Linked DNA regions of Coturnix japonica. The protein of the gene in region 1 binds, or shares a complex with, the protein of each later gene. Links are inferred from orthologs where the notes say so. Each region holds a gene or a part of one and is shown on either strand. Other genes may lie near its edges. The genes, in order: NDUFAF1 and TMEM186.

Region 1 (3,915 bases):
TTGTTTGCTGTTACAGGAGGCAGACCTTTGAACTGGGCTGGCGCTATACATGTATACTATATCCCATGCTATAGAATGGGAATATATGTGCTATAATACATACATTATGACAAATGTATGTATATACTTAAATTTAATTAATTGAAACAAACAAACAATAAATTCTACTCCTATCTGAAATTGGCTTCATGAGCTGAGGGCTCTTTAGTACAGACTAACAAAAAATGAGCCACCAAAACTAGAACATCGTGGTTGTCCCACGTGTGTGTGGGGCTGTAGTGGCGCTCAGGAGCACCTGCCATTCTGTATCTATGATTGTCTGGGAGCCTGTGGGTCTTAACACTGGGAAACACAACAAGCAGCCACACAGGGTGCATACTCAGCTCATACAGTGGGTGGTCAGAGCATGCACTGAATAGATGCAGCTATTGCAGCTTTGCAGGCAGCGCCAGGAACTTTCTATGCAATAACCGTTTTATCTGTAATGAATGGACTTAGATTGGTGTAGGATGTGTACCCTTCAACATGGTTTGCCAAACTTGGAGTCACTTGGGGCCTCAGAGGTGTGTGGATTGTTAGTCACAGCCTTTGAATCTGTGACACCCTGTAATGTTGGCAAGAAATGGGAGTTTCAGCTCTTTTCTGAGGACAGTGAAGTGTGTCACTGCTGGCCTGCACGTGTTCCTCACTCACAGCAGCCAGTTCTCGTTTCCTGTCCCTTGTCACAGCCCTCCTTTCTTGTTCCCACCCAGTTCAAATCACTGTTATATTTTTGTGAACTGTTTGCTAGGACGTTGATGTCTTTGAATGAAATTTGCAGTATAGAATATGCAGGCTGGATGTGGATGAGCTCTCCGTGGGCCTATAGTGCATCCTAGACTTCTCATTAATTTGTTAAAGCTGACACGCCATTGGAAGGTGATATTCTAGATGTGAACAGCCATCTTCCATGCTTCAACCTCTCCTGCGTCAATCTGAGCTATCTCTGAGCATCCAGCTAGCTCAGAATCCAGCCTAACAGCTGGAAACAGCTGCTGGAGGGCAGTGTGGGGCTGGAGCTGGCAGCACATGGCTAATGAGTGACCTGCTGCTTTTTGCTGATTCTTCGGACTTTGAAGTGCTGGTACCAGATTTAGTGTTATTTCATTTTCTAAGGCAGGGTTTGTTTGTTTTTTTCCCCTTTAAGGTTTTATTCTATATATACTGGTGACACTAAAGTCTATTTTTCTTTTGTTTCTGCTGTCAGATTCCGTTCTCCAAATTCTTTCTGTCCAGTCGAGGAAGAGTACAGGATGACCAACATCCCATCTGGTTGGACAAGGCAAGTTTTCTGTAGGCTTAATTTGCCAGAGCTACTTTGAGGTTGCATTGCCATCGTGTAGGCAATTGAGAGATCCTTGGGATATTCAGTGTTTTTAAATTTAAAATTCAAGAGGGGTTTCTACTTGTTTTAAGGTACTTCTTTTGTGTGTGTAGCTTTGCATGCAAATTATCCTACTTTGTGATTTCAGCGTCAGTTGACTTCAAAGTAGCTCCAAAGACATTTTTAAGAGATTTAGATAACTTGGCTGTTAAAAAAAAATAAACCTTTTTTTTAAGGGAATGATCAAAGTGACTGAGAAATCTAAAATGCAATTTGGCACAGTACTGACATAAATAGCAAAGGTAAGCATGTATCACAGAGTGTCTAGGGCTTATGAAGGGGTAAATTCTTCAGAACATCATAGAGTTTAGGTGACTCCTGCAGTCACCTGTAACAGAAAGCTTTAGAACTTCTGTAGCCTCCAGAGGCCAGGGGGGCTGACTGCAGAGCTCGCTTCTGGGGAAGATAAAGCAGCTGAAATCTTAGAATCAATCTGAGACTGGTTTGAGAACCAGTAACAATGGAGTCTCTGAAAGACTGGTGATGTACAAGAGAAGGTTTTCAAGGCATACACTACAGGCTAATGGGGAACATGTCTGAGCCCTGGGGATTTTTATGGGGTTTATTACAATTAAAAGAAAGTTATTATTTAATAAATTAGTGTAGCAGTAGGGAATGAATGAAGGACATTCTTTTGAAAAATGCTATTTGAAGTGGAAAACTGTGACTAAATAACTCAGTGTGTGGCATAAAGCTGTTACTGAGTTTTATGTTTTGCAAAATGTTGGCTTTGGGGCTCTTTCAGACTGTACCAGGCCTCTGTCTTACTTTAGAATGGAAGGAACTTATTACACTGTATTTGTGCTTCCTGCTCACATTAGAACTGTTAAAAAAAGGTGTGACAGAAGGATGTTTGTTCACCCCTTCATGTTGTCAACTGACAACATCCAAACCTCAAGGGATGAAAATCCCAGTGTTGCACCAGGCTTAGGCCATTTTCAGTACATGTTACGACTTAATGGTAGAGAAGCAACTGTGAATTCCATTGGAGCCTGTATTGAAAATAAAATATTCACAGCTTCAGAAATACTTTTAATATTATATAATAATATATTTATATAATATAGAATATAATATTATTATAATAATTATATAATACTTATTGAGTATTATTAAATAACTCGTAGACTGAGTGGATGTGAACTACTTATAGGATGTGGAAGTGGTAGATACTGGTTGTAACATTATTAAGATGTATTCTAACTTATGCATCTCTTTTATTAGATTAGTACCCTTGGATTCACACTGGGAGATAAAATAGATGGTCCCTTCCAACTGGAGATTGACTTTATTGGCCTGCTGAACGATAGAGCTCACACAGAAGAATTTGCTTATGAAACATATGAAAGGAATCCTCGAACCTAAGTTGGTCTTGCATCCCTTGGAACATTCATCAGCTGCTTACTTAACGTGTGAGAACATGCTTCAAGTTGTTACAATTATATAAACATGTAAACATTAAATGTTAAGTGGATGAAGTGTTGACTCAGTAATCTGACAAGACTGACACTGTTGGCATCATCAAGCTGCCAATGCCAGGCTGAGAGCTTCCACCTACAGGAACTGGAATACAGCCCGGTGAGAGCTGCACTACATGCTTACCGTGTGCTAACTGCTGCCTGGATATATTTTGACTTTTCTCCTGATCTTTAGGGAAATAAAAGTATTTTGTTAATGTAGCGTTGGTTTTTTGTACTCAGTTTGATTTTCTAATACATTGTTTATAGAGCTGTAAAACACTTGAACTCAGTAGGTTGTAACTGGAGAAGTTATGGTGTAAATACAGTGATAATACTGCTTAAGTGTCACAGCTTTAGAAATGTAAAGAACAGGACGTAACATATGTCAGACTTGAACTTCTGGCACCTGTAAGGAACTAAAAGAAAAACCTGCTGCTGCCTCGAGTGAAACAGTAGCACTGAAACTGATTTGGCTCTTATTTTTATGGGTAATAAGAGCTACAAAGTAGAAAGATGAAGCTGTTGAACCGAAGTAAGGCGCCGGGGGGGCCCCATCAGCATCCATTCCCTAGAAGGGCACTTCACCTTGATGAACACAGTTACCCACAGTCCCAGTAAGAGCAAACGATGCTTTTCTGATGAGTTATTAGCTTCACTATGTTGCAGAAAGGGGCAAAGCATCAAGTGGCAAATGGTCAGTTCCCTAACCCCCCCCCTTTTTTCCCTCTGTTCTCAGTAATTTAAGAAACACCTTATTAAGAAACACCTCAAAAAACATTTGCCAAATGGTTTCATTTCAGATGTCACAGTCTAATCAAAGCCTTGACTTCACTTAGTGTCCTCTGCTTACTTAAAAGTACCTTAAAAATACTAATCCTAGCTCTGTTTTAAATGGAGACTGCGACAAAGCACAACAGAGTTGACACCATCTTGCATCAGCAATTTCCTCTTGCACAGATTTGGATGAAGAGCAGAAGGGGAGCAAAGTTTATCCTTTCTAATGGTATCAGAGCACTAATGCATTCACAGAAG
Region 2 (3,997 bases), on another chromosome or scaffold:
TGATGCTGTGCTATTGCTGCTGTACTTTCATGTTACAGTGTTTTGTGTTAGGTTGTTTGGCAGGGGGAGGATCTGATTTAAATGAAATGGTGTTTCAAATGAGATTATTTCAAATGTGATACCTATAGAAAATGTGAGGCCTTTTCCTGCAAATTCTCTTCGTAAATCAGCTACAAATTTTTCTCTTATATGCTCCTTCTGTGTAAGAAAAACAAAGAAACAAAAGGGATCAGCTGCACGCTGTGTTAATTCAGCAATAGAAAAATAATAACTAAAAACACCCAATCACCTTATCAAGTTCATAGAACTCAATTCGTTCTTCCTGGCTACAGCTTCTTCCAATGGGGGACACGTTTAACATCCCATTGCGGAATTCAATAAAAGTGCCCCTGAAAGAGAATTAATTAACAAGGCAGAAAACAGATGAAACAACGTTTAAGATACTGAATGTAGCAATGAGGCTTTGTTTAAAGACAGTGGGACCCCTTTACATGAGGTGTCTGCTTTGCACATTGAAGCCCAGCACTCTTAGATGCTGACTTGAGATGCATCCTATGCACATACCTTTTCTTTGGCAGTTTAATCTTTGCAATGTAACTCAGGCAGTAGTTGATGAGGTCTTGGAGCACCTCCTCACCCAGGTGACCCTGAATGTTCTAAACAAAATCAATACCATTAATTAACCCAGGCTCCACATCTGGAGATCCTTGAAACAGTTTAACAGGAGAACACAGCTGGTGGATAATCAGCTGTGATTGCTGGCACAGAGCAGTGGCCTTTCAATAAGGAACTCTCCATTGATTTAACTAGAAGTTCCCACTTTTTTTGCCCCTACCTGCTTGCTGAAGAACTTCCCATCTTTGTAAGCCACGAGCCCGTTCTCTGGAAACACGTAGTCAAACTTCTCAACCACTGCAAACAAACAGGAGGAAGGTGGTGACAGGAACCGCCCGTGTGTTCAAACGTGAGTTACACGGGTTAGAACGAGTGAGATCCCAACGGGAAGAAGGACTCGGTAACCCCGGGCACAGCCCCATCCCGTACCGTCATCACCGAGCTGCTCCTTGATCTTCTCAAAGTCTGAACCCCCGACAACGCCCACCTTCACCTTCTGACGCAACCTCTGCAGGAACTCCGCCATCTCCGCCGTGATTTTCTACGGTCGAAAATCAAACAGTGCAATCGGGGTCAGCATTACCCGGAGCTGTAACAGCCCCGTGCCCAGCCCATACAGCCCCGTGCCCAGCCGTGTGTGCAGCCCATACAGCCCCGTGCTCAGGCGCTGCCCCATTGACCGCTCCAGGCCCCTCATCCCGCCCCGCTCGGCCCTGATCTCCCCCCGCCGTTCTCCACTCACCTGCCGCGGCGCAGTGAGGGTCCCGTCCACATCGAACAGACACAGCACGGCTCGCTCCGCCGGCGCCATCGCGGCTGTGAGCAGCGGGGCCAGCCGGGAAGGGGGCGGTGCTGTGAGACGGCGGCGTGGCAGCGCTTCCCTCATGGCGATGGTGAGTTGTGGTGGTGCGGGGGGAGCTCGGCCTGCTCAGGGTGCGCGGCTTTGGGCCTCGTTGTTCACCTCAGTGTGCCCGCAGGTCCGGCTGTGCTGCGTGAGGAGCGGCCGCGCCTTGTCGGCCATGGGGAGGTGGCTGCATGGGGGGACCTGCAGGACGGTGTGGAAGGAGGAGGCCGCCGGGCCGCCCTGCTCGCTCGGTAGGGCCGTGTGTTGGTGGGCACACAACGGGAGAATCCACGGCTTTCTCGGTGACCGTGTGCCGTCTCGGTTCCTGCGCCGTTGGTCTCACAGAATCACACAGAATCACACATTGACCCGGGTTGGAAGGGACCTCAAGGATCATGTAGTTCCAACCCCCCTGCCTGGCAGGGCCGCTCCTGTCGCTGCCATCCCGCAGGTTGGAGGAGGTAAAAGCGAAGAGTTCCGCGTGGTGTACAGGTTCCCTGGTATTAAATACTGCCGGCTGCTGTCGAGGTTGAAGCTGCTTCAGACCGCAACGACGCTGCTGGTGCTTCCACCCGTGTGTTACCTGCACCTGCAGCAGCAGCTGCCCCAGGCCGTGCTGCTGTACACGGCCGGCATCGCTGTCTTTGCCGCTGTGATGCTGTACGGGATGAGTTACTTTTTCAGACGAATTATCGGGTTGATTTACTTAAGTGAAAGCGGAAGAACCGTCAAAGTGTCCCACATGACGTTCTGGGGGAGGCGCAACGACATCTGCTGCCCCTTGGAGACGGTGATGACTTTGGATGAGGTCGGGGATGCCAGGGGAGAGCTGCTGCTCCGGTTCAGAAGGTACAACAGCACAGAGGTCTTGTATTTCACTATTAAATACGGACAGATTGTGGACAGACAGAAGTTTATGCAGATATTTGGAGAGCTGCAGTGATTCAGCGGCAGCTGATGCCTCTTGTTGTATTGTTCCTTATGTGGATTCTTGCACAACATGCAATTCGTTTATCGAACTGATACACTTCTGTCATTTTTGCCACGTCTGCTGGGCTGTGTGTTCAGTGTAACAGTATCCAACAGTCCTCTGGGTAAGTAAGTAAGTGTTGCAGTTCTGGGGTGAGCAGGAGTGCTCCTTTTGGATGCAGTTAGTGTGTGCAGTGTCACACAGCCATAGAGGCAGCGAGGTGCTGCCCTGCAATGTTTCAGCTTTGGAGGCTTTGGGTAAAAAAAAACCCAAGCTTTCAAAGTGAGTGTCAGAGCATCCTCATTTCAGATTCACCTTCAGCAAGGTTTAGGTTAGCTGGGAAACTTAGTGAAATTCAAGTGCTCCCATACAGTCGTATGATAAATGATGCTAGATGTCAGAGTGATACTGGCCCATGGATTTATGAGCAGTAATTAGTAGTTATAATGGTGAAAAGGCTTCCTGACAATCATAAAATCAGTGTTAAAGAAACGATATTTGGATCAGCTCTGAGTACGCAGGGCTGGTGGCTGTGTGGGTGCAAACAGAACCCAAGTGCTGCTGCACAGCTGATGTCTGGGTGGTTAAAGCCCCTCCAGGAGCCTTCAGTGTTAAATCATTTCCCATTGAAATAAAGGAAGAATGCAGTATTCTTCGTTTGTGGTGCTATGAATGACAGGGAGCCCTTTCTCAGTTCGGATTTTAACAATCATTATGTTGAAATTTGGAACTACTTGTTCTTGTCTGCATATGTTCATGCTGGGGGGGTTGTTTGTATGTATGTGTGAATGACATTTAATCACTGCTGTAGCACTCGAGTTGCAAAAACAGTAAATATTGCTAAAAAATTATCTGAGACTGAAGTCACCAACCTTCTGTTTACCACCATAGATCACCATGTAGCTGTGGTTCAGCTGCTCTGTCCTGCTTGATCTGTGTGTTGATTTGGGCTCTCTAACGTCTACAGCACCCTTGGCAAATACCCACCCACTGCCCTGACCTAAAACAAGGGGAGAAAAGGTAAAACAGATAAAAGCTGTGTTGAATTACAGCTGAGAAGTGTAACAGGTGTAGCTTGTTCTGTTGAACTGGTAGAGCTGATCACAGCCCCCCCTGTGTGTGTGGAGCTCATCACCTCACCCCCTGTGTCTGTAAAGGGCAGAGGAGGTGCTCTGCTGTATTATTGATTCCTCCTTTGCCAAAGCCAAAATCTCAGCAGAAATCAGGATTTAAATCTAGGAACAAATGTAGTTCAATGTACAATGTCCTAAAGGTTTGTACAATGCAGTACAAACCTTTAGGAGCAGCAGATTGTTTGGCACAGGGGAAAGGAGGCCTGGGGACTTTATTACTCTCTACAGTTAGTTACCTCAAAGGAGGCTTTAACAAGGCAGGGCTCAGTCTCTTCTCCCAGGTAATAGTGATTGATAGGATGAGGAAACAGCCTCAAGTTTAAGCTGTTTAAGGGTAATTTTAAGGGTATTATAAGAAGTCTTTTTGAAGCACTATGGCAGGCTGTCCCGGGCAAAGCTGAGGTACTGAAAAGACTCAACACATGCAGTGCTGAG

Evidence for each region.
Region 2: NDUFAF1 (region 1) and TMEM186 share a complex: the UniProt entries of both Homo sapiens proteins name them as parts of the mitochondrial complex. The link is inferred for Coturnix japonica from reciprocal best matches to the Homo sapiens genes NDUFAF1 and TMEM186.

What each region holds. Positions count from the first base shown.
Region 1 is NC_029520.1:21,995,599-21,999,513, reverse strand, and holds the end of NDUFAF1 (complex I intermediate-associated protein 30, mitochondrial), read left to right. Parts: intron 1-1,246; coding exon 1,247-1,321; intron 1,322-2,647; coding exon 2,648-2,788; 3' UTR 2,789-3,102; downstream 3,103-3,915. UniProt on the Homo sapiens protein: As part of the MCIA complex, involved in the assembly of the mitochondrial complex I.
Region 2 is NC_029529.1:9,416,410-9,420,406, forward strand, and holds TMEM186 (transmembrane protein 186), read left to right. Parts: upstream 1-1,499; coding exon 1,500-1,508; exon of another isoform or gene 1,509-1,592; coding exon 1,593-2,402; 3' UTR 2,403-3,280; downstream 3,281-3,997. Other genes in the region: PMM2 (phosphomannomutase 2), read right to left, coding at 123-198, 290-389, 565-656, 836-912, 1,045-1,156, 1,358-1,501. UniProt on the Homo sapiens protein: As part of the MCIA complex, required for efficient assembly of the mitochondrial complex I.